4 linked regions of the Caenorhabditis elegans genome follow. The protein of the gene in region 3 purifies or fractionates together with the protein of the main gene of each other region. This does not show direct contact. Each region holds a gene or a part of one and is shown on either strand. Other genes may lie near its edges. The genes, in order: sdz-15, lip-1, gst-5 and gldi-6.

Evidence for each region.
Region 1: the proteins of gst-5 (region 3) and sdz-15 purify together in Caenorhabditis elegans (affinity purification with mass spectrometry, with the first as the bait; one large-scale study listed by BioGRID). This does not show direct contact.
Region 2: the proteins of gst-5 (region 3) and lip-1 purify together in Caenorhabditis elegans (affinity purification with mass spectrometry, with the first as the bait; one large-scale study listed by BioGRID). This does not show direct contact.
Region 4: the proteins of gst-5 (region 3) and gldi-6 purify together in Caenorhabditis elegans (affinity purification with mass spectrometry, with the first as the bait; one large-scale study listed by BioGRID). This does not show direct contact.

Annotation. Positions count from the first base shown.
Region 1 is NC_003281.10:6,496,865-6,500,651, reverse strand, and holds sdz-15 (Skn-1 dependent zygotic transcript 15 protein), read right to left. Parts: upstream 2,177-3,787; 5' UTR 2,009-2,176; coding exon 1,908-2,008; intron 1,671-1,907; coding exon 840-1,670; intron 735-839; coding exon 629-734; 3' UTR 542-628; downstream 1-541. Other genes in the region: F23F12.3 (SLC22 family MFS transporter), read right to left, coding at 1-47; F23F12.13 (Major facilitator superfamily (MFS) profile domain-containing protein), read right to left, coding at 2,475-2,782, 2,828-2,929, 3,071-3,227, 3,408-3,726, 3,778-3,787. UniProt on the Caenorhabditis elegans protein: May have a role in embryogenesis.
Region 2 is NC_003282.8:6,840,994-6,846,519, forward strand, and holds lip-1 (Dual specificity protein phosphatase lip-1), read left to right. Parts: upstream 1-1,964; 5' UTR 1,965-1,970; coding exon 1,971-2,035; exon of another isoform or gene 2,036-2,036; intron 2,037-2,082; coding exon 2,083-2,154; intron 2,155-2,230; coding exon 2,231-2,327; intron 2,328-2,421; coding exon 2,422-2,687; intron 2,688-3,074; coding exon 3,075-3,197; exon of another isoform or gene 3,198-3,251; coding exon 3,252-3,382; intron 3,383-3,429; coding exon 3,430-3,547; intron 3,548-3,595; coding exon 3,596-3,722; coding exon of another isoform or gene 3,723-3,833; exon of another isoform or gene 3,834-3,971; intron 3,972-4,012; coding exon 4,013-4,159; 3' UTR 4,160-5,018; downstream 5,019-5,526.
Region 3 is NC_003280.10:10,948,434-10,952,128, reverse strand, and holds gst-5 (putative glutathione S-transferase 5), read right to left. Parts: upstream 1,778-3,695; 5' UTR 1,717-1,777; coding exon 1,584-1,716; intron 1,057-1,583; coding exon 566-1,056; 3' UTR 526-565; downstream 1-525. Other genes in the region: nos-1 (Nanos-type domain-containing protein), read left to right, coding at 1-101, 151-250; Putative serine/threonine-protein kinase gskl-1, read right to left, coding at 2,945-3,235, 3,396-3,503, 3,553-3,632, 3,683-3,695.
Region 4 is NC_003280.10:3,445,332-3,452,927, reverse strand, and holds gldi-6 (Ubiquitin-like domain-containing protein), read right to left. Parts: upstream 5,982-7,596; 5' UTR 5,972-5,981; coding exon of another isoform or gene 5,891-5,971; intron 5,312-5,890; coding exon of another isoform or gene 5,056-5,311; intron 5,009-5,055; coding exon of another isoform or gene 4,908-5,008; exon of another isoform or gene 4,760-4,907; intron 4,723-4,759; coding exon of another isoform or gene 4,305-4,722; intron 4,257-4,304; coding exon of another isoform or gene 4,189-4,256; intron 3,699-4,188; coding exon of another isoform or gene 3,618-3,698; intron 3,571-3,617; coding exon of another isoform or gene 3,223-3,570; intron 3,131-3,222; coding exon of another isoform or gene 3,062-3,130; intron 2,747-3,061; exon of another isoform or gene 2,739-2,746; coding exon of another isoform or gene 2,658-2,738; intron 2,612-2,657; coding exon of another isoform or gene 2,071-2,611; intron 2,024-2,070; coding exon of another isoform or gene 1,944-2,023; exon of another isoform or gene 1,870-1,943; intron 1,516-1,869; 5' UTR 1,508-1,515; coding exon 1,427-1,507; intron 1,381-1,426; coding exon 1,036-1,380; 3' UTR 724-1,035; intron 679-723; 3' UTR 516-678; downstream 1-515. Other genes in the region: C16C8.12 (SKA2 domain-containing protein), read right to left, coding at 1-69, 117-197; C16C8.14 (Ubiquitin-like domain-containing protein), read right to left, coding at 1,944-2,023, 2,071-2,611, 2,658-2,738; C16C8.25 (DUF4200 domain-containing protein), read right to left, coding at 3,062-3,130, 3,223-3,570, 3,618-3,698; C16C8.21 (Ubiquitin-like domain-containing protein), read right to left, coding at 4,189-4,256, 4,305-4,722; C16C8.20 (Ubiquitin-like domain-containing protein), read right to left, coding at 4,908-5,008, 5,056-5,311, 5,891-5,971; C16C8.16 (Ubiquitin-like domain-containing protein), read right to left, coding at 6,261-6,340, 6,387-7,029, 7,078-7,158; C16C8.5 (Ubiquitin-like domain-containing protein), read left to right, coding at 7,564-7,596.

The sequences.
Region 1 (3,787 bases), on a different chromosome or scaffold from region 3:
AAAAAAAAACACAAAATATGAAAGCGATTAATATTCAGAAACGACATGCCTAAATGGACAAACCGTATTTGCCTAACTCACTTTGATAAAACAATTTGCACAGGCAAATGACAAATTTTCGTCTCGAATTAGGCTTATCAGGCTTTTTAGGTTTATCAGTAAACGCGACCTATAGGTAGTTCTGAAGTTAAACGGAGGGGATTAAAAAATTGAAAGATCGGAAATGGGTTAGCTGATTAAATCATGAAACCGGAAAAGTATAGGTCAACGGTCGATTTTCGCAACAATGAAGTTTTAAATAAATGTCGAGAACGATATTCATTTGCCTAGGTGAAATTCAAGTTCGCGCGCAATTGAATATCCCGGCGACCAATGAGAAACGAGCACGGGGCGTGGCAAAAATCGCTGATTGGTTGACGATTATTTTTCAATGTAGAATGTGTCTTTCAGCTTATCTTTCAAAATAGGTTAAAGAATGTGTAGAGAATTTTTTTTTTGTGATTCCGATAGCAATAAATAGATAGAAAACAATTTATTCGAAAAAAAAAACTTTCATTTCAGTATATTATTAGAACAATTAGGCAATTTATTAGAAAACCACATTGGGAATTATTATTATTATTAATAATCAATCTCTGGTCATCAGAAAACGTTCTCCGATTCGAGAAATTGTCGCTTTGACTCCGTCAATTCGTTGAATCTCAAAACAATCTCCTGGTGGTAGTTTTTGGAATCTGAAATAGTTTGTTGTATAGTTAAGTTTTAAATTTGAATATAGAGATGCGATTTTTAGATCTACTAAATTCTTCATCCTAGCAAACACTGAAAATATTACTCACCCTCCGAATCCCGAGATAATTCCTTCCTTTATTGTCCATTTCAATCCATTAATAATCCGTGGTAAATCGAGTTGTTTAACTTCCAAATCCACGTTTCGCAACGAAGCTCCGCTCATTTCCATCCATTCTCGAAGAAACCAATTCAAGTTCTGATTTGTCAACTTTGAATTGTTAAGAGTTACAGACGCACAGTTTCTCAAAGATTTCAAATGATGAACAGTCACCCAATGAGCATGCTCAATTGTCAAAAACTTTTGGCAAAAGTTGGAAAAGTTTGAAACAGGATACTCAAATCCCCAGTTTACGTGAGGGGCAACGTTGAGTTCAGATGTTTCTGTACATTCATTAAGGAGATTTTTATAAGCCTCCGCTTCCAACGTTACTTCAAAGCCAGTAATATTCACATTTTTGAGTTGAACTCCTCGATTTTTAACCGACTTCAAGAACTCCACAGCATCATATTTCTCATCAATAGAAAAGCTGACTGAAACTTCTTTCACATTGAACACTGATCGGAGATAGTCTAGAACTTTTAAGATCGCTTCAGTTTCCTTCTTCATCTTCCAATAGCTTCTACAAATCTGACCATCGTAGTAATGTTCCATTTGTACTTCAGTATTCTCGTCCATTTTCCATATTTGTGTTCCATTAACTTGCTCACTTTCTTGGCTCAAAACTTCACATCCAAGATTGGATATAGCTCCTCCGATTTGTCCAAAAGACACTGAATAGTCTTGCTCTTGAACAAAGATGCTCACTTGAAATGAAACTTTTTTGAAGAGCCGTTTCACGAGAGCCTTTGTTTCTTCGGCTACCATGGAGTAGGTAAATCTTAAAATGAAAATAATTTTAGAAAATGTATCGAAATGATTAGAAAGGTGCAGTTATGTTTGTAAATTTGAATCTATATTTATATAAGTTTTGAGAGTTATGTTCCAAAATACTCAACAAATTCAAAAAATCCCTATTGGGGATTTTTTAAAGTTCTTGTTTATGCAATATAATATAAAATGTGAAGAATTAAAATACAATTTTTCAAATTTAAAAACAAAATTAAAATAAACTCACAGTTCCATTGGGACCATTGACTTCACCACTTTATCCGAGACCAAGTGAGGGAGTTTGTGGAGACCAAAGGCTGGGACGGTAGACGAAGAAGGAGAAAGCATAATGAGAGAATATTCACAAGATGACAAGGTACAGAGACTGTAGAATACAAGAATGAATGTCTAAAAATAGTTGTAAACGAAAATGTTCGAGTCTCCCCTGGAGAAGGCAATACGGACGCTCTCCTGATGATAATATGGTAATGACTATGAGAAATGAGACGATGTGTAAGAAGGCGTGGCTGATGGTGTCTACGTTATTGATCGATTGGAGTATCCTTTTCTTTCCAAATACTATATAGACATTTTGTATTGATCATCATTTCCAATTTTAAATTTTTCAGTGGCATTTTCAGAGAGTGTACTTGCATCAAGTAATCGAGCATTCTTGTTTGGTATTTTGTTTCTTGCAATATCTTTTGAAATAAGTGTTCAAAAAACTGGGTGCAGATACTTACAACATGTGTCCCGTAATAAAAAAAAACAGCACTTTTTGTGCACAATTTGTTATGTTTAGTATGTTCTATTTTTATGCATTTATATTATTTTCAACAATTGATAATCTAGCAGCCGCCAAAGTTCCTGTTCTTTTTCTCTGAATCACAATATTCTCCGTCATGCTCTTCTTTCTATCGTAATCAAGTTCTTCAGTTGGATCAAGTGCTGCCAAATCAACTCCTTTTGTGTCTGGTAGGAAAACACAAGATATCAGGAGGGAAATTGTACCAATTGAGCAAACAACTGCGTACGGAGCTGGTCGATAGATATCAGAGAGATAAGCCATTTGAGGAGCAAGTAAGGCTCCGGTTCTGGCAAGTAGGGAGCATGTACCGATACCTGAAAATAGATAATTTGATGTTAAAAGATTCAAAACTAACTTACCAATAGTTCTAATTTTAGTTGGGAAACATTCCACTGCTACAAGATAACATGCATCCCATGTGATCTCAATGAAGGAAACACCGATGATGTTAATTATGATGACTAAAATACATTATTTGTAGAACTCTAAAAAACAAGGGACTTGTTTGTAACCACAATCTTTTTTCTAATTGCACCCAAAATAAAATAGGCATGTAGGCGAGCCTGCTCACAGTGGAAACCTTAATTTGCAGGCAAACTTACTAGCCAAATCGCGAGATCCTTGACTTCCACAGTCTGATTCAGGAAGAATCATCAGAACCATGATAACACAATAACATAAAATCATGGCAATTTGAGGATATTGGTGTAGACGCCGACGGTCAAATGATGGAACATAGGTATCCAATAGGAATACAAACTGAAATAATTATTAACAAAAGTGCTATAAAACATTCAAAGTTCGGCCGAAAATATTGTTCACTATTTCTGAGTCTATTTGAGACACAGCTTCAATTCTAAATTTAAGTGAGACGTACAACTAGGAAAATAATGTGATCATTACTTTACATTTTAGTTAATAACTTCAAAATGCACTCACAATTTTTGCAAATGCGGTCACCGCACCGGACACAAACTGACTCAAATAAAAATTTCCAGCCAAATTCCCAGAATTCAAGTCAGAACCAAACGCTGATAAACTTGTAGAGAACCACAAAGATCCGACCACAATTGTACGATATGCAATTGTCCAGGAAGTGAATAAATCTTTCATTGTATAGATCTTCGTACTCTTCTCTTCTAGTTTTTCAGATATTTCTATACTTTGATCTTCGTCATTGACGTATGGGATCCCTGATAGCCATGCAACACGTTTCTCAGCCGCCCTTGCGTCTCGAAATCTCTTTTTGGTATTAAACCTAAAACTTCAGATTAAAAAATATAATTAATTAAGAAAAGTGAGGGTTCACCATTTCGGGG
Region 2 (5,526 bases), on a different chromosome or scaffold from region 3:
AACCAATTTATTTGTCATTCTGATTTCTGCAAAAAACACAAAAGTGGGGGAGGCCACTCCATTTTGGAGCTAATAATAGTGTGCTCCAAAAAAAACTTTTTCATCTATCTACGTCAAAACTTTTCGGCCGTCGTCCTATTTTTAGGCTCGTCGTTTCCTCTCCATTTTTTCCTTTTTTCGGCGGCGTCACAACGAATTAATGAATTTATTGGAGCGAAAACGTTGCTCCGACGGGGCGGAGAAGGGCACACTAGAATTTATGAATGGTGTGCTCTTCGAATAGAAAAAGAGCACCTGGAGGCAGCAATTGCTTCAGATTTTTTAAAATCTAGTTTCACACGTATAATCTTACGATCCTCTTCGATGTGCAATGTAAGCGACCGACATTTTATGGGGGTTTTCGAAATTTCAAAAACAACCCGTGAAACGTCGGATGCATTATATTTCCTGATTCTATGCAATAAACAGTTTATAGATCAAAAATCAGATCCCAATATTGCTAGAATCTCCCAAATGAAAATGAACTTGACCGTGGGAAAATTTTTAAAATATCTAGCCAAGGATTTGTAGACAAATCGTGCGAAAATCGGTCCAAAAAAACTCACATTCTTCGAGTGTTCTCTTCTCGAGATCCACCTCCGCGCCTATGATTTCTTCCTTCCATTCTTTTTTCTCTATTTCTCCAACCAAAAATAGTAAGGAAAAAATAGTGAAAAAATGAAGGTCACTTCCTTTTTTCTGTCTCTCTCTTTCCCATATCAATCACCTGATTTGCGATCATCGCCATGTCTTTTCTCGCCCTGTTATTTTGCTGCTAAGTTTGTTTTTTTTTTCAGTTTTTGTTGTTCTCCTACACCGCTTTCCGGTGTTTTCCCATTGGTTAGTGATTAATGATTACAAGTTGGAAATGCCAACATTTTGATCTGTTCCTATTGGTTTTAGAATTCTCGAGGTTTAAGGTTTTCATTTGAAATGGAAAGTATTCTTTAACTTAAGATCATACATTTTTTCCAGTATTCAACTCGTAGAGTATATAATCTAGTTTTACATATTCCCACATTTCCATAGTTTCACCATTATCTCCGACGGAAGCTGTACATGTTTTCCTAAGATTTTATTATAAAACTGATTATCATGAAAACTTATCATTACTGATAAGAGACGCATATTTCTCGTGGGCGCCAGCGCCCACGGATACCTAGGAACTCAAAAGTGAAATATTTCTTTTTGATATGAGCGCATGATGACGAGCCAAGGATTATCCCTCTCTCACAGCTTCTTTTCTTCGTCCCGTAGATCTGTTTGAGCCATTCTTAGCGAGGATTGTCGATTTAGCAGTCGACGCGCATGAATTTTGCTCAAAAACACTGATATTTATTGAGAATTTTCATGCTCCATTTTCAAAAAAAAAAGTCTCTGAGATATTTGCAGGTATTTTATTCGGATAATTTTTATTTTGTACTGGTGTGTCTTGTTGAAGGATGCCGCAGCACATTCAACTATCTAAAAAAACAGGCGAATTTTAATTTTATTAAATTTCAGTTCTTCAATTAAATAGTTTTGATTGAATTATGAATATTTTTATATATCTAGATTTGAAAATAAATTTCAAACCCATAAAAATTAAATATTCACATGTCGTTGCGCCATGCGCCTTTAAAAAATGACAGTACTTCCATAATTTCAAACGCGGGAAAAAATTAATTTGATTTTCTATTTTTTCGCTCATCACATCGATTTCCCAAATTTTCTCGAATTTTTTTTCTCAGAAGAGTTTTTGATTTTTTCTAAATTATCCCGCTGACGCTGCCCACTCACAGAATATTTTATTATCGATGAAATGACTCCTACGTATTTTCGTGTCTCCCCGCTGTTTCACCAGTGTTCTATTATTTCCAAATTTGATTTTTAAATTTTAACTTCACAATTTTTTTGCTATCAGATAAAATTTTTTTTAAAAATATTTTCAGATGACAACTCACCTACCGAGCACATCTCAAAATGGCGAAGAGATATCTGCTGAGCAATTCAACAGGTGATTTATTTAATTTAATAACAATTTAATCAATTTTTTATTTTCAGGATATTTCACGAACGCAACGTCATCGTTCTGGATTGTCGATCAAATGGTGATTCAGTGAAACGAGCCAATCGGTTAGTATTTTAAATTTATTTTTCTCGTAATCAAAAAATCTAAAAACCTTCTAAATAATAAACAATCTCGGTGTAGATTCTTTTGCAGTCTTCGATTACCGGCTCTCCTTCAACGCCGTTTAATGGGCGGTTCAATGCGACTTTCAACAGTACCTGATCTGAAGGATCTGAATGTGAGTTTATTATTATTATTTTTACACATTTATTTCAATAAAAACGGACAGAAAACATTAAAATTGTTCGAAAAATACTGAAAATCATTTTCAGAATTCTCCTGATCAATGTCCCGAAGTTCTTCTCATCCCCGGCGACAGTGAACAAGACGAGCAGCTCTCGGCAGCTTTAGCTCGAAATCTGAAATCCAACCACTATCGTCATTTTGTGCTCGGCGAGCCTGTCAAGACACTTCTCTCCCAGTTTCCGACCCTTCGTGATGCAGCCGACGAAAATTGGAACACCACGTTTCAAATGAACTCGATGCCGGGTCAAGCAAGTGGGCAACAAGCATCAAGTGGACCGCTTCTTAACTTAAAGTTAGTTTTTTTAATTAAAAACTTATTAAGTTATTTCTAATTTTTTTAAATTATAAAAATTAAAGATTCGATCCGTGAATTTTGATTGTGAAGAAATTTCATGTTTTCACAGCCAAATTAGCATGAAATATCTTTTCAATCTTATACGAATTAATTTTCATTCGAAAAAGGAAATAAATCAAGCAATATCGAAACTTTATTGAAAAAATAAACGAAAAAGCAGTGGAAATCGGCCCGACTCTATTTCTGTACGACGCTGCTTTTTTTCAAAATTTCCCAGATCGATCCTTTAATTTTAACAGTATAACCAGGTTTGAAGCTCCAAAAATGCATGTATTGTTAATTGAAAAAAATTCCAGAAAACAGTAGATAATTTTTATTTTCCAGCCAACTCCGATTGGAAGGTGAAGATCAAGGCGGAAAACAACGTGCAGAGTTTCCTGTAAAGTTAACCAATTTCTTGTATCTTGGAAACGCGGAGACCGCTAAAAATCGAGATGTTCTTAAAAAGTGACACTATTATTCGATATTATATATATTCTTAACAAAAAACCCAATTTTCAGATATTCTATCTCACATGTAATAAATGTCACATCAAATTTGCCAAACACGTTCGAAGAAGACCCAAATATGCGATATTTAAGAATATCGGCCGATGATAACGCTTCACATAATCTAACAAAATTCTTCCCTGGTTTGTAATTGATTTTTCTGAGTTTTCTTAAAAATATTCCTTTTCAGAAGCCATATCCTTCATTGATGATGCGCGACGCAACGATTCAGCATGTCTTGTGCATTGTCTGGCTGGAATTTCCAGAAGCGTTACAATATGTCTGGCGTATCTCATGAAGACTGAAATGTAATTTGATTTAGATTTTATAGATTAAAAAAAATTGATATTTTTCAGGTGTACTCTTGATTCTGCCTACGAATGGGTTCAAAAGAGAAATGCAAGCATTGCTCCAAATTTTCATTTTATGGGACAACTCACAGACTACGAGAAGATGTTGGGATTGAATAGCAATCGAGTCGGGGTTAGTAGGCAAGCTGTAAATTTTGATGTTCACTTTTTCTGCATTTTTAAATTAAAGAAAAAAGAGGAGAACTCCCCAGAATCAAGAATTTTAGCCGAAACTGCAGTTTAAACTGTAAAATCGTGCAGAAAAATACATACTGTGTTGTTCACGTGTAGTACACCGTAAATCGACACAGGTTGCTGCCTTTGTGGTTCAAATCCTACCCGTTGATTGCTTATCCGTTAGAATATTTTAATAAATCGTCCTTCTTCTACAAATGTTCTTTTAGTGATTTTTTCGTATTTCAGACATATCCTTCCTCGGCTCCTCGTTCTCCATCTTGTGCCATCGAAGCAGCAGCAGTATCACAAGTTGGAGGCCTTCTAACTCCACCACCAACAAGCTGTTCGGCGTCACCTCAATCGAGTAATCACTCGGCAAAGTCATTTCACTAGAAGAATTCACCCCTTCTTATAATTTTTCATCATATTTTTTCATCCATTTTTATCGTCCTCATGCAGCTAGATGTACAAATAATACAACTCTACTACCTGTTATGTTTCCTAGTTGTCATACCATTGTGATATTCTTTCTTTTTGGTAGATCCACTTCCTGTCCCATGACTGTCCTTTTTTATGTCTCGACGTTCTTTTCTCTTGTGAAATGACCCTACCATGATGCCTGTTTTACCAAATCAATAATTTTAAACCACCACCACCACAACGACACGTGTCTCTTTCCCTTTTCATTACCGTATAGTTCATTTCCCCCACTACGACACTTTCCATACAATCTCTGTACCTTATTTTTCTCTCATTTGTCAGACTTTCAAAATTGAGTTTTCTCTTTTTCCCATCATCTCCCCTAAAACCACTTTCCCGAGAAAATCCGCAACATTGTTATTGCCATGACCTTACTTTTCCCTCCCAATTCTCAATCAGCACCACCATTTCCTGCTATCACACTTTCTCCCCATTCACTGATTTCAGCCTCGTCTAATTCACCTAAATTTTCATAATTGTTCTCGATTTTATCTTTTTCTTCTCTCATTCAAATCACCGACTCTGAACTTTTTAGTGAACGCCGAGTCTTTGATTCCCCCCCCCCCCCCCCCAATTTAGTTGAAACATCTATATATACGCATACAAAAATGAAAAAATTCCTACAAAATCATATTTAGTTTTGTATGGTCAATGATTTCATCTTCCATTGTCGTCGCCGCGTGAAATTTGGAGTTTGTTATGACAATTGCTTCAGAAGTTTGTCCAAAATTGTTCAAAAATAAAATTGAAACAGCTGAAGCTTAAAATTATGTAGGCTCTGAAACGAATTTCTTAATTTTTAAAATTTTTGATTATTCCAAGAAATCGACTTTTAAACTTCATACATTCATCATAGATTATGTAAATTTGAACAGTACAAGAATTAAACGGCGATAGAAAAAAAGAAACATAATCGCCAACAGATGTGAACAATTGAGAAACCTGTGGAAACACGGAAACAGACAAAAAAAAAAGATTTTTGGACATCTGGGAGTACAGGAAACATATGGTTTTGAGAAGGTTAGAATTATTTGAAAATGCTCTGAAAGGAGATGAGATCAAATTGAAATGGGAGATGCATGGAAGAATATTATATTATGAATAAGAATCGATTATGAATTGACAATGAGATTTTCGATGTAATCCTTAATAAAACACGCATTCCACAATTCGAAATGGGATCAAATGGGTTAGTGTGAAATAATTAGATAGATGTCACGAAACAGTAAAAACTATGACATTGGTCGAATTTGTGAAATATCATATCAAAATGGTGCTTA
Region 3 (3,695 bases):
ACCGCTTCCGAATTTGCGAGACTTCACACTTTGCCAGCTCCACGGAAAGATGATCGTGGACCATGGTCCGATCACTGCTCGAAGAAAAGGGGAAGAGTTGTGTAAGTTTGTTGAAATTTCCGACCTTCAACAGATATTATCATTTTTCAGATGCCCAAAACTTCGCTCAATGGTCTGTGGAATCTGTGGAGCCACTGGCGATAACGCACACACAACGAAGCATCACCTGGAGGCGTTTGGAGACGACTAATATGTATATATAATATATATTTTTCGAAAGATGTTCGTGTTATATTTTTATGCATCCACATTATATTCACATAATCTATTTACATATCCCACCATGTTTTATCCTGCCCCCCGAAAATTCACATTTATTCGCACCTCCTCGCATATTGATCTCGAAATTGTTTAATTTTCTTTTTGTTGATTTTCTTCATTTTTTGTTCTCTGTTTTCTGTTCTCCAATTCTCCAGTTGTATTATCGCTTAGCGAACACTGTTGACATGTTGATAAACTGAATTTAAAAAAAAAAAATATTTATTTGCAGATTTTATACAGCTATTTAGAATGGTGTGACTGGACGGGTCTCGATCCATTTCTTGATTTGTGGAATCGCCTGGATCTTCTCGGCATGAGCCTTGAGCTCTGGGAACTTGCTGAAATCACCTCCCTTGGCAATCAAATCAGCTGAATGTTGGGCAATAGCCAAGTCAATCCAGGTCAAAGAGTCTCCGACAAGGAATCCGGATCCCGAAGCCTTCAAGAAGTTGACCAAGAATCCGTAGAACTTTTCAAATGCTGGAAGGAAGATGTCTTTCTTCAAAGTTTCAACGTCTCCTGGACCGAATCCCATGACAGCGTAGAAATATGGACGAGCCTCACTTGAATAATCCTTGTATTGATCGGCAAGAGAGTTCACTTGAGCCTCTTCCCAGGCGGTTTTTCCGTTGAGCTTGAACTCACGAGCCAAGAAACGAGCAATCGCGTGGGATTGAGCAAGCTTCTTACCGTCGACTTCGAGGAATGGAAGTTGTCCGAATGGAGCAGCGCAGGCTGGAAAAAATAGTTTTTTAAAATATTTTTTATTCAAAAAATAATTCTCTTGGATTAAAAAAAGGAAAAGATTTTAAGCTATTTTACAAAGTTATTTTACAAAAAATTTAGCTTATGTTTGAGAAAATTATGGAAAAAGTATAGTTTTTCAAAAGAAGTGAATTCTTTAATTGGTCAAAAATGTAGAAATCGTGTCGAGACCACGAGAAGTGATTTTTTTCGCTTTTCATGTTTTTGTTCCACAAAACTGTAGATATTCCCTAATTGCAGGATTTTGAGATTTCCGGCGCTGAAATACGGTAACTATAGGTCTCGGCACGACCGAAATTTCACTGGTACCGTACCCAAAACTGCAATTCACTTAATTTTTTAATACTAACCCAAAAAATATGATTTTTTGTAGAAAAAAATCAGGAAAAAAATCATAGAAAATCGCAAAAAAAAATTTGGTTACGGTAACTGCGAATTTTAAGTCGTTTCGAGACCCAGGCGCCTTCACAATTGAGTAATAATAATTCCAAACTCACTTTCTTTCAATGCTGGCCATTGTTCCTGAGTGACTCTATTATCCTCGTATTGTTGTCCGGCATAGGCGAAAATCTGACGAGACACTTCTCCAGCGCCACGTCCATTGAAGTAGGTCAACTTGTAGGAAACCATAATGATTTTTGATTGAAGTTGTGTTTTTTTGGAAAGTGGATTGCAAACAAACAATTGTGAGGGAAATTGGAAACTTCACTCTCTATTTATACTCATTCGACCACGTCGCTTTTTGTGTCTGAACCTCTCACTTCTCTCACAATTGTCATCAAAAACGTAGGGTCGGGAAGGCTACAAACCACGAAATGGGCGGAGCCCTGAAATTGTGGTGGTCTTTCGGAAAGAGAATTCAGTGGACCAGGTGAAAAGAGGGATATTTCGAAATTGTTGGAAAAAAATCATCATGAATTTTCAAATGTCATCAAAAAATTTAATGGAAAGCTCTAGATTCTAGTTTTGTGGAATTTTTTTTTAATATTACCTAGACCTAAAGTTTTGCACAAAAAAAAATACGGTACCCGGTCTCGAAGCGACATTTTTGCTGAAAATAAGAACGGATGTGCGCCTTTAAAGAGTACTGTAGATACAAAATTTTTTGCTGTGGTCTCATTGATTTTTCACAATTTATGTGTTCTCAATTGTTTTGTTTTAGTTTTTTGTTTAATAAATACATATATTTTGAACGAGAAACTATGAAAATTCCGCAACAACGAAAGGTTGAAATTACAGTACTCTTTCAAGGCGCACATCAGCTTGTATTTTGCGAAAAAGTTGTCGTGTCGAGACCGGATACCGTGTTTTTGGCTCGAGAATCGCAAAGTATCACGAACATATCTCTGAATTCAAGCCTAATCAATCACTTTTTGTTTCAAAAAAAAGTATGTTATCAACATCAACTACAAATTTCACAACACCGATCACATAAAGACACAAAAAAATACACACAGACTCCAGAAATGTGCTTTGACAGGAAAACTGATATGAAAAGAAATGTGATTAATGTTTCGGTGTTTGTTTCTTTTTGCCATTTGAATTTCTGTCTGCAAGTTTCAATTGGAAAAAATCATTATGTAGGCATTATGACTGAAGGTAGGCAGACATGTAGGCAAAAAGGCAAGCAGGAATTTTTTAGGCTGTACCTGACTACCGAAAGCTATCAATCTGATAGAAATACTGAAGGGTACGGTAGGATCGCGTGTACTATAGACTTCTGGAATGTCCATGGTTACTTTGTTTTTATGAATAAACTCCTAAAAAATTTCCAAACCAAATCATGTAAACCTTTATAAACGTCACTAAATAAATTACTATTTCGAAAACTACAACGGTAGACTTCTCGAAAAGTTCTCTAATCCTCCAATTCTTCATTCGTCGAATCCGACTCCTTTTCAGCCTTTTCAGTTGTCTGAATATCTGCCACCACTTCCGTTTCCGGCTCCCTTTTGTGATGCATTTCCGTATAACTCGCGAGATTTGGCATCTCAACTCCGTTTGATCGCTTCTTCGGTGGACTCGATCGTAGAATATCGAAAAGGGGCATTTTCAGCACGTCAATCGCGGATTTTCTCTTTTTCGGATCGATTTTCAGTGTTGCTTTCATGAAATCGTAGATTTCCGAGTCGAGCATCTTGCTGGTGAACTGAAATTAAATTTTATTTGAATTTAAAATAATTTGAAACTGGCGCCAATTTGTTTTCAGTGGAGCGCGACATTGCGCGCGCGCGTGTGTACTTCTCGTGGACAAGTGTGCTTTGTTTCGCTTCTTTTTTAGTTTTATTGGTTTTTTCTTTAATTTTTACCGTTTCTATTCCTCTCGCATCTTTTCTTGCAACTCTAGGCCTTTTTACTCCAATGCTTTTAATATCATCGTCTGTAGGATATCCGAAAACTCCAGTTATCAACACAATCTGGAAATTAGCTAAATTACCATGTTTTCCAGTTTTTGACTGTAACTACCTGATCTTTAGTGTCCTTTCCTTTAAAAAGAACTCGATTAGCGAAAAGTTCAAACGCCACACAAGTTGCTGACCAAATATCTGAGAAATATACATTTAAATAATTTTTGAAACACAATTTTTAATTTTACCGATAGACGCGGT
Region 4 (7,596 bases), 7.5 Mb from region 3:
TTTCTTCAAAATCTTCTGGCACATCTCCTGAGTGTCCTTGAGCAGTGCATTCCCCGCAGAGCTGGGTATCTGGAAAAATAAATTGATTTTTAAAATTGTTAGTTAGTTAATTAAACCTCTCTGAACTCATTCTGTATTCTCGAAGTTTCAGCGCAGAGCTTTTGGAATTCGGACATCAAATTGTTTGGCTCTGACATTTTTTAATCTAGAAAACACACATTTTTTGATAATTTTCGTTAATTTCCATAATTTTTCAAGTAAATTCGAAAAAAAACTCGCAAAATAATTGGAAATTCTCAAAAAACTCGACAAGAACCAAAAAACAAGAAAAATTTTCAGATAATTTTTCACAGGGAATTACGGTAGGTGGCGGAGTACGTAACGTGTTTGCGGACTATGCACCTGAAAATACGCGCATAAAAAATTGTTTTTTTTTTGCATTTTTTGTTTTGAACAAATCAAATATCCGAATGATTGTTGAAAACGTTGTTTGCGATAAAAACATCCAAAAAATTGTTGTCAAAAATTATTTATTTACATAATGGCAGATGGGAACTTTATACATTCTTTTAGAGAAAAAGTCGATAAAAATTAGAATTTAAGGGGAGAAAAGACCGAGTGTTGAGCCTTCTTGAATGTTGTAGTAGGCGAGAGTGTGGTCGTCTTCGAGAACTTTATCTGAAATGCAAATTTCATTTTACAGCTATTTTGCAACCAAGCAACCACGAAGCACCATTCTGAACGAGCTGATATCTACGTTTGCAAGTGAATTGATGGTCAGTTTGACTTGTCGAATTGTGTCCGATCCGCGCACCCAAAGATTTCGATAGTTTCCAGACGCTAATGTGCCATGCGAATCGGACCAGTAAACAAAAATATAAAAAAATGAGACATTCTTTGCCAATTCTCCAGTTTCAATTGGGACGTCATGCACAGCTGATCTTTGCATAATCTTCATCATCATTTGATTTTGACCTTCCTGAATTTTCAACATCATTTCCAGATTTTTATCCGAATTCCTGATAAGAAGATCATTCATCGATTTCTCCTGAGATTCCTTTTCATATCATTAGTCTCATTTTTGACAGTCTTCAATTCCGACATCAAATCTTCGATCAATTTATTTTGAGTTGCCTGGATTTTTTGAAATTCTTGCTTCATCTCGTCGTGATATTCGTCTTGTCTCTTCAAAATCTGAGTCTCTTGTTGCTTTTTCATATCACTAGTTTCTTTTTTGACAGACTCCAAATCCAATATCAAATGTTCAATGAATTTGTTTTGATTTTCCTGGGTTTTTTGAAATCCGTGTTGTTTCTTTAAAATTTTCTGGCACATTTCCAGGGTGTTCTTGTGCAGTTTATCTTCCACGTAGCCTGGTTTCTGGAAACAATTTGATTTTTTTCAACTTTAAATATGAAAATCTCACCTCTCTGAACTCATTTTGTATCTTGGAAGTTTCAACGCGAAGTTTTTGAAATTCAGTCATCAAACTGCTTGGCTCCGACATTTTGAAATCTGAAAAAAAATTATTAAGGCATCGTTGTAATTTTTGCAAATAAAACCACACTTTTTTAATTAATTTCGTTATTTTTACATAAAAATTTGGAAAAGACACCCGAAAAATAATTGGAAATTCTCAAAAAACTTATCAAAAACAAACAACACTGGGAAAAATGTTCGGACAAATTTTCAAGGGGACTACGGTAGGTGGCAGAGTCCGCAACGTGTTCGCAGACTCTGCACCTGAAAATACGCGCATAAAAAATTGTTTTTTTTTGTTGCAAATTAAAATAGGGAGTTTTTGATCGAATAAAATATTTGAATGACTGAAAATAACTATTAAAAATAAATTTTAAAAAACGATGATACGTTGTTCGTATTTATTTTAAGAAATGGGGAACTTTAGACAACATCTTGAACAAAAGTCGATAAAACATTATGATTTAATGAAAGAATACGCAAATTGTTGAGCCTTCTCGAATGTTGTAGTGGGCGAGAGTGTGGTCGTCTTCGAGAAATTTATCTGAAATGTAAATTTTATTTTAAAAAGCTACTTCGAGAAAAACCGACCATCACAGAACGTTCTGAACGAGATGGTATCTATTCCTGCAAGTGAATTGATGCGCGGTTTTATCTGTCGAATTGTATCCGATCCGCACACCCGAAGCTTCCCATGGTTCCCAGGAACTACTGGGCCACGCGAGTCGGTCCAGATGACCAAAATCTCAAAAAATGGGCCATTCTTTGCCGATTTTTCAGTTTCAATTGGGACGTCTTGCACAGCTGATCCTTCCTGCATCTTCATAATCATCAGATCCTGACTTTTTTGAATTTTCAGCATCATTTCCAGATTTTTATCCGAAATCTTGGCAACAAGATCATTCCACAAATTTGCCTGAGACTCCTGTTGCTTCGTTGCTTCATGCAGGTCACTTATTTGATTTTCGGTCTCATTTAGCTTTGATTTGGCAGTCTTCAATTCCGACATCAAATTTTCGATAAACGCGTTTTGATTTTCCTGGGATTTTTGAGATTTGCCTTGTTTCTTTAAAATCTGTTGGCAAATTTCCTGAGTGTTCTTGTGCAGTTTATCTTCCACGTAGCCTGGTTTCTGGAAACAATTTGATTTTTTAAAGTTTTAATTCTGATATTCTCACCTCTTTGAATTCATTTTGTATTTTGGAAGTTTCAACGCGTAGTTTTTGAAATTCAGACATCAAATCTCTTGGGTCCGACATTTTTAAATCTGAAAAAAAGCCATTTTAATAAAGTTTTCGTGTTTGAGGTTTAAGAGCTCATTCGGTGTAATTTTTGAAAATAAAACCGCATTTTTAGTTAATTTCTATATTTTTAAATAAAAATTCTGGAAAGACACTTGAAAAAGCATTGGAAAATTTTCAAAAAACTGAACAAGAACCAAAAACAAATTTTCAAGGGAACTACGGTAGGTGGCGGAGTACGCAACGTGTTTGCGGACTTTGCGCTTCAAATTACGCGCAAAAAATGTGTTTTTTTGCAAATTACATAAAATAGGGATTTTTTTGAGAAAATGGGAAAAAACCTACTTTTTTGTTGAATTCGGCACCGTTTTGTGCTGTTGGACGCGTTTCCGTTGCGGTTTTGTGATATTCTGCAACAAAAAATATATTTTTATCGATAAAAATGAGAAAAAACGAGAAAAAACGAAGATAAATGAGCTTAGCAGCCAAATTAAAAATGTACAGTTTCTCCTTGCTGATTCATCATCATCATCTGATCCTGACGTTTATGAATTATCCATATCGATTCTAGAATCAGTTCCAAATTTTCATCCGAATTCTTGGCAAGAAGACCATTTATTTGATTTTTCGTCACATTCAGCTCGGCTTTGACAGTCTTCAATTCCGACATCAAATTTTCGATCAATTTGTTCTGCTTTTCCTGGATTTTTTGAAATTCTTGCTTGATTTTGTAGTTATGTTTGAAAAATTCTTGCTTCATCTCATCTTGAAATTGGTCTTGTTTTTTCAAAATTTTTTGGCTCATTTCCAGAGTCTCTTTGATCAGCTTATGATCCGCAGAGCTGGGTATCTGGAAGAAAACTGATTTTTAATTATTTGTGAGTTCGAAAACTAAACCTCTTTGAACTCATTCTGAATCTTGGAAGCTTCAACGCGAAGTTTTCGAAATTCAGACATCAAATCGCTTGGCCCCGACATTTTGAAATCTGAAAAAAAAAACATTTTGAAAGGTTTTCGTGTTAAACCGCTTAACAAAGCTGATTCTAGACAATTTTTGCAAATAAAACCACATTTTTTAGTTAATTTCGATATTTTTAAGGGAAAATACGGAAAAGAAACTCGAAAAATCATTGGAACTTTTCAAAAAAAAAAACTGAACAAGAACCAAGAAAACCGGAAAAGATGTTCAGGCAAATTTTCATTGGAAACTACGGTAGGTGGCGGAGTACGCAACGTGTTTGCAGACTTTGCACTTAAAATTACGCGCAAAAATTTTTTTAAAAAAGTTTTTTTGCAGTTTTGAATTTTGATCAAGGAAATATCCAAATGATTGCAAAAATAATTTTAAATAATTAAATATGTGAAAATCGAAAAATATGTTTTAATTTTTTCAATCGGCAAATAAAGTGAGGGAGCTATAAATTATTCACAAGAAAAAATCGATAAAATTCAAAAAATTATAGCGGAATCAGGTCAAGTGTTGAGCCTTCTTGAATTTGTAATAAGCGATAGTTTGGTGGTCTTCGAGAAGTGTATCTGAAAGTATAATTAAAAAATTATGAAGAAAGGGGGATTTAAACTAACAAACAAAGAACAATCTGTACAATTCGGTTCTCAGTTTTATTGGACTGGACTGCATAATAAGTGCCTTGATCCGCACTTTAAGATCACGAATCGTATGCGCATCGAACACGAGATGATTGTACTTTCTTCCATATACGGATGCATTAGGACCTCCATGCAAATGTACAGTAATCTTGAAAAATGGTTTTTTATTATCCAATTTTTTATCTTCAATTGGGGCTTCCAGCGGTGTTTTCACAGGTGCAACTGATTCTTCGATCTTCTTCGCAAATTCTCCTTCCTGAATCTTCATCTGATCTTGACTTTTCTGAATTTTCAGTATCATTTCCAGATTGTTATCCGAAATCTTGGTAGGAAGACCATTTATTTGATTTTTCGTCTCAATCAGCTCTGTTTTGACAGTTTTCAATTCCGACATCAAATTTTCGAACAATTTGTTTTGATTTTCTTGGATTTTCACAATTATTTATTCGCAAACTGCCGGGAACTTTAGTATCGGCAATAATTTAAAAAAATCGATAAAAAATTATGAGCTGGAGAATTCCATGAACTTGAGGATTCTGAAACAAAAAAAGATTCATTAATTGTCATTAACGGTGAAATTCAAGTTGAAAATGAGCAAAAATGGAGAATTATGAGAATACGCGAATTGTTGTACGAAATGTTGTAGTGAGCGAGAGTGTGGTCGTCTTCGAGAATTTTATCTGAGATGCAAATTTTATTTTAAAAAGCAATTTCGAAAACAACCGACCATCACAGTACGAGCTGAACGAGCCGATGTCTATTCCTACAAGTGAATTGATGCGCAGTTTGATTTGTCGAATTGTGTTCGATTCGTACACTGGTAGTTTCCTGCGGTTTTCAGACACGAATATGCCACCCGGAATGGACCAGGAAACAAAAATCTTAAACATTGAGTCATTCTTTGCCAATTCTCCAGATTCAATTGGGACGTCTTTCACAGCAGCTCCTTCTTGAATCTTCATCATAATCCGATCTTGACCTTCCTGAATTTTCAGCATCATTTTCAGATTATTATTCGAATTCTTGGTTAGAAGATCATTCATCGATTGTGCCTGAGACTCCTGTTGCTTTGTTGCATTATGCAGGTCACTTATTTGATTTTTAGTCTCATTCAGCTCTGTTTTGAGAGTTTTCAATTCCGACATCAACTTTTCGATCAATTTGTTTTCATTTTCCTGGATTTTCAGAAATTCTTGCCTAATCTCATCTTGAAATTCGTCTTGTTCCTTCAAAATCTGAGTCTCTTGTTGCTTTTTCATATCACTAGTCTCATTTTTGACCATCTCCAAATCCAATATCAAATTTTCGATCACCCTGTTTTGATTTTTCTGGGTTTTTTGACAATCGTGTTTTTTCAAAATCTTTTTTTTCACTCGGGAATCGTTCGCCCACTATGGGGGAGTCTGCGCAAGGACAAGCAAGGACAAGGACAACATTCTAATGGAATGGAAACAACTGCCCGACTGCACCAATTCTAGTTCAAGCGAACAATGATAACTTTTGTATTCTGTATTCCTTCACGTCTCCCAGCGAGCGTAATAAATTATTATTATTATTCTCACCTCTGTGAATTCATTGTATATCTTGGAAGTTTCAACGCGAAGTTTTTGGAATTGAGACATCAAACTGCTTGTCTCCGACATTTTTAAATCTGAAAAAAAAAAGCTTTTTGATAATTTTTGAAATGCAAAGAAGTTCCTAGTTAACTTTTCTAATTTCCCAGGTAAATTCGAGAAAAAACTCTCTAAAAACTGAACAAGAACCGAAAACCAAGAAAGTTGCTTTTATTTTTGAGTAAATCAAATATCCAAATGATTGCAGAATCATTTTTAAAAAAAATCTGTGAAAAGCGAACAATTTTAGTTAACAATTATTTATTCGCAAAATAACAATATCTTGAAAAAAGTGAATGAAAATTAGAATAATTATGATTCAACGAGAGTATAGCCAAATTAATGCGCCTTCTTGAATGTTGTAGTAGGCGAGAGAGTGGTGGTCTTCGAGAAGTTTTCCTGAAATTCGAATTTTATTTTTAAATCTACTTTGAAACCAACCAACCACGAAGCACCATTCTGAACGAGCTGATGTCTACTTTTGCAAGTGAATTGATGCGAAGTTTGATGTGTCGAATTGTATCCGATCCGCACACGCGAAGTTTCCAGTGGTTTTCAGACGCGAATATGCCACACGATTCGGTCCAGATAACCAAAATCTCAAAAAATGGGTCAATTTTTGTCAATTCTACAGTTCCAAGTGGGACGTCTTGCACAGCTGATCCTTCCATAATCTTCATCATAATCTGATCTTGACTTTTCTGAAATTTCAATATCGATTCTAAAATCAGTTTCAAGTTTTTATCCGAATTGTCGATCAATTTTTCCTGAGACTCTTGTTGCTTTTTCGTCTCATTCAGCTCTGCTTTGACAGTCTTCAATTCCGAATTCAAATTTTCGATCGATTTGTTTTGATTTTCCTGGACTTGCTGAAATTCGTCTTGTTTTTTAAAAATCTTCTGGATTATTTCGAGAATCTCAAGAAGATCCTTAATTGATGTCGCCTGTTTCAGTTCTTTTTTCACAGATTTCAACTCCGACATCACGTTCTGCTGAATTTGCTTCATCTCATCGTTGAATTCGAATTGTTTTTCCAAAAGCTTCTCGCTTATGTCCAGAGTCTCTTTGAACAGCGTATAGCTGGGTTTCTGGAAGAAAATTGATGTTCTTATAATGTGTAAGCTCGAAAACTAAACCTCTTTAAACTCATTCTGTATCTTGGAAGCTTCAACGCGAAGTTTTTGAAATTTAGACACCAAATTGCTCGGCTCCGACATTTTGGAATCTGAAAAAAAACATTTTTTGAGATATTGGTGTTTTAGCGGTTACAACAGCATGCTTGCGAATAAAACCACATTTTCTGGCGTAATTAGATATTTTCTAGAACAATTCGGAAAATAAACTCCAAAAATCTCAAGAAAACTGAACAAAATTGAAAAACTGAAAGGAAAAATGTTCACGAACGAAATTTTCGAAGAAACTACGGTAGACGAGGAAGTACGCAGAGTGTTTACGGACTTTGCATTGCAAATGACGCGCATTGCTCATATTAAAAATTTTTTTTTTTTTTTTTTAATTTCAAATCTCTTCTCATTACAGTCTAATGCTTACAAACTGATTTTCAATGCCAGAAAAACGCGAAATGCTTTGAAATATAATATTTTCAGAATTGTTCGCGAAAAATGGACAACTCGAATAATGTGATGTCGAAATTG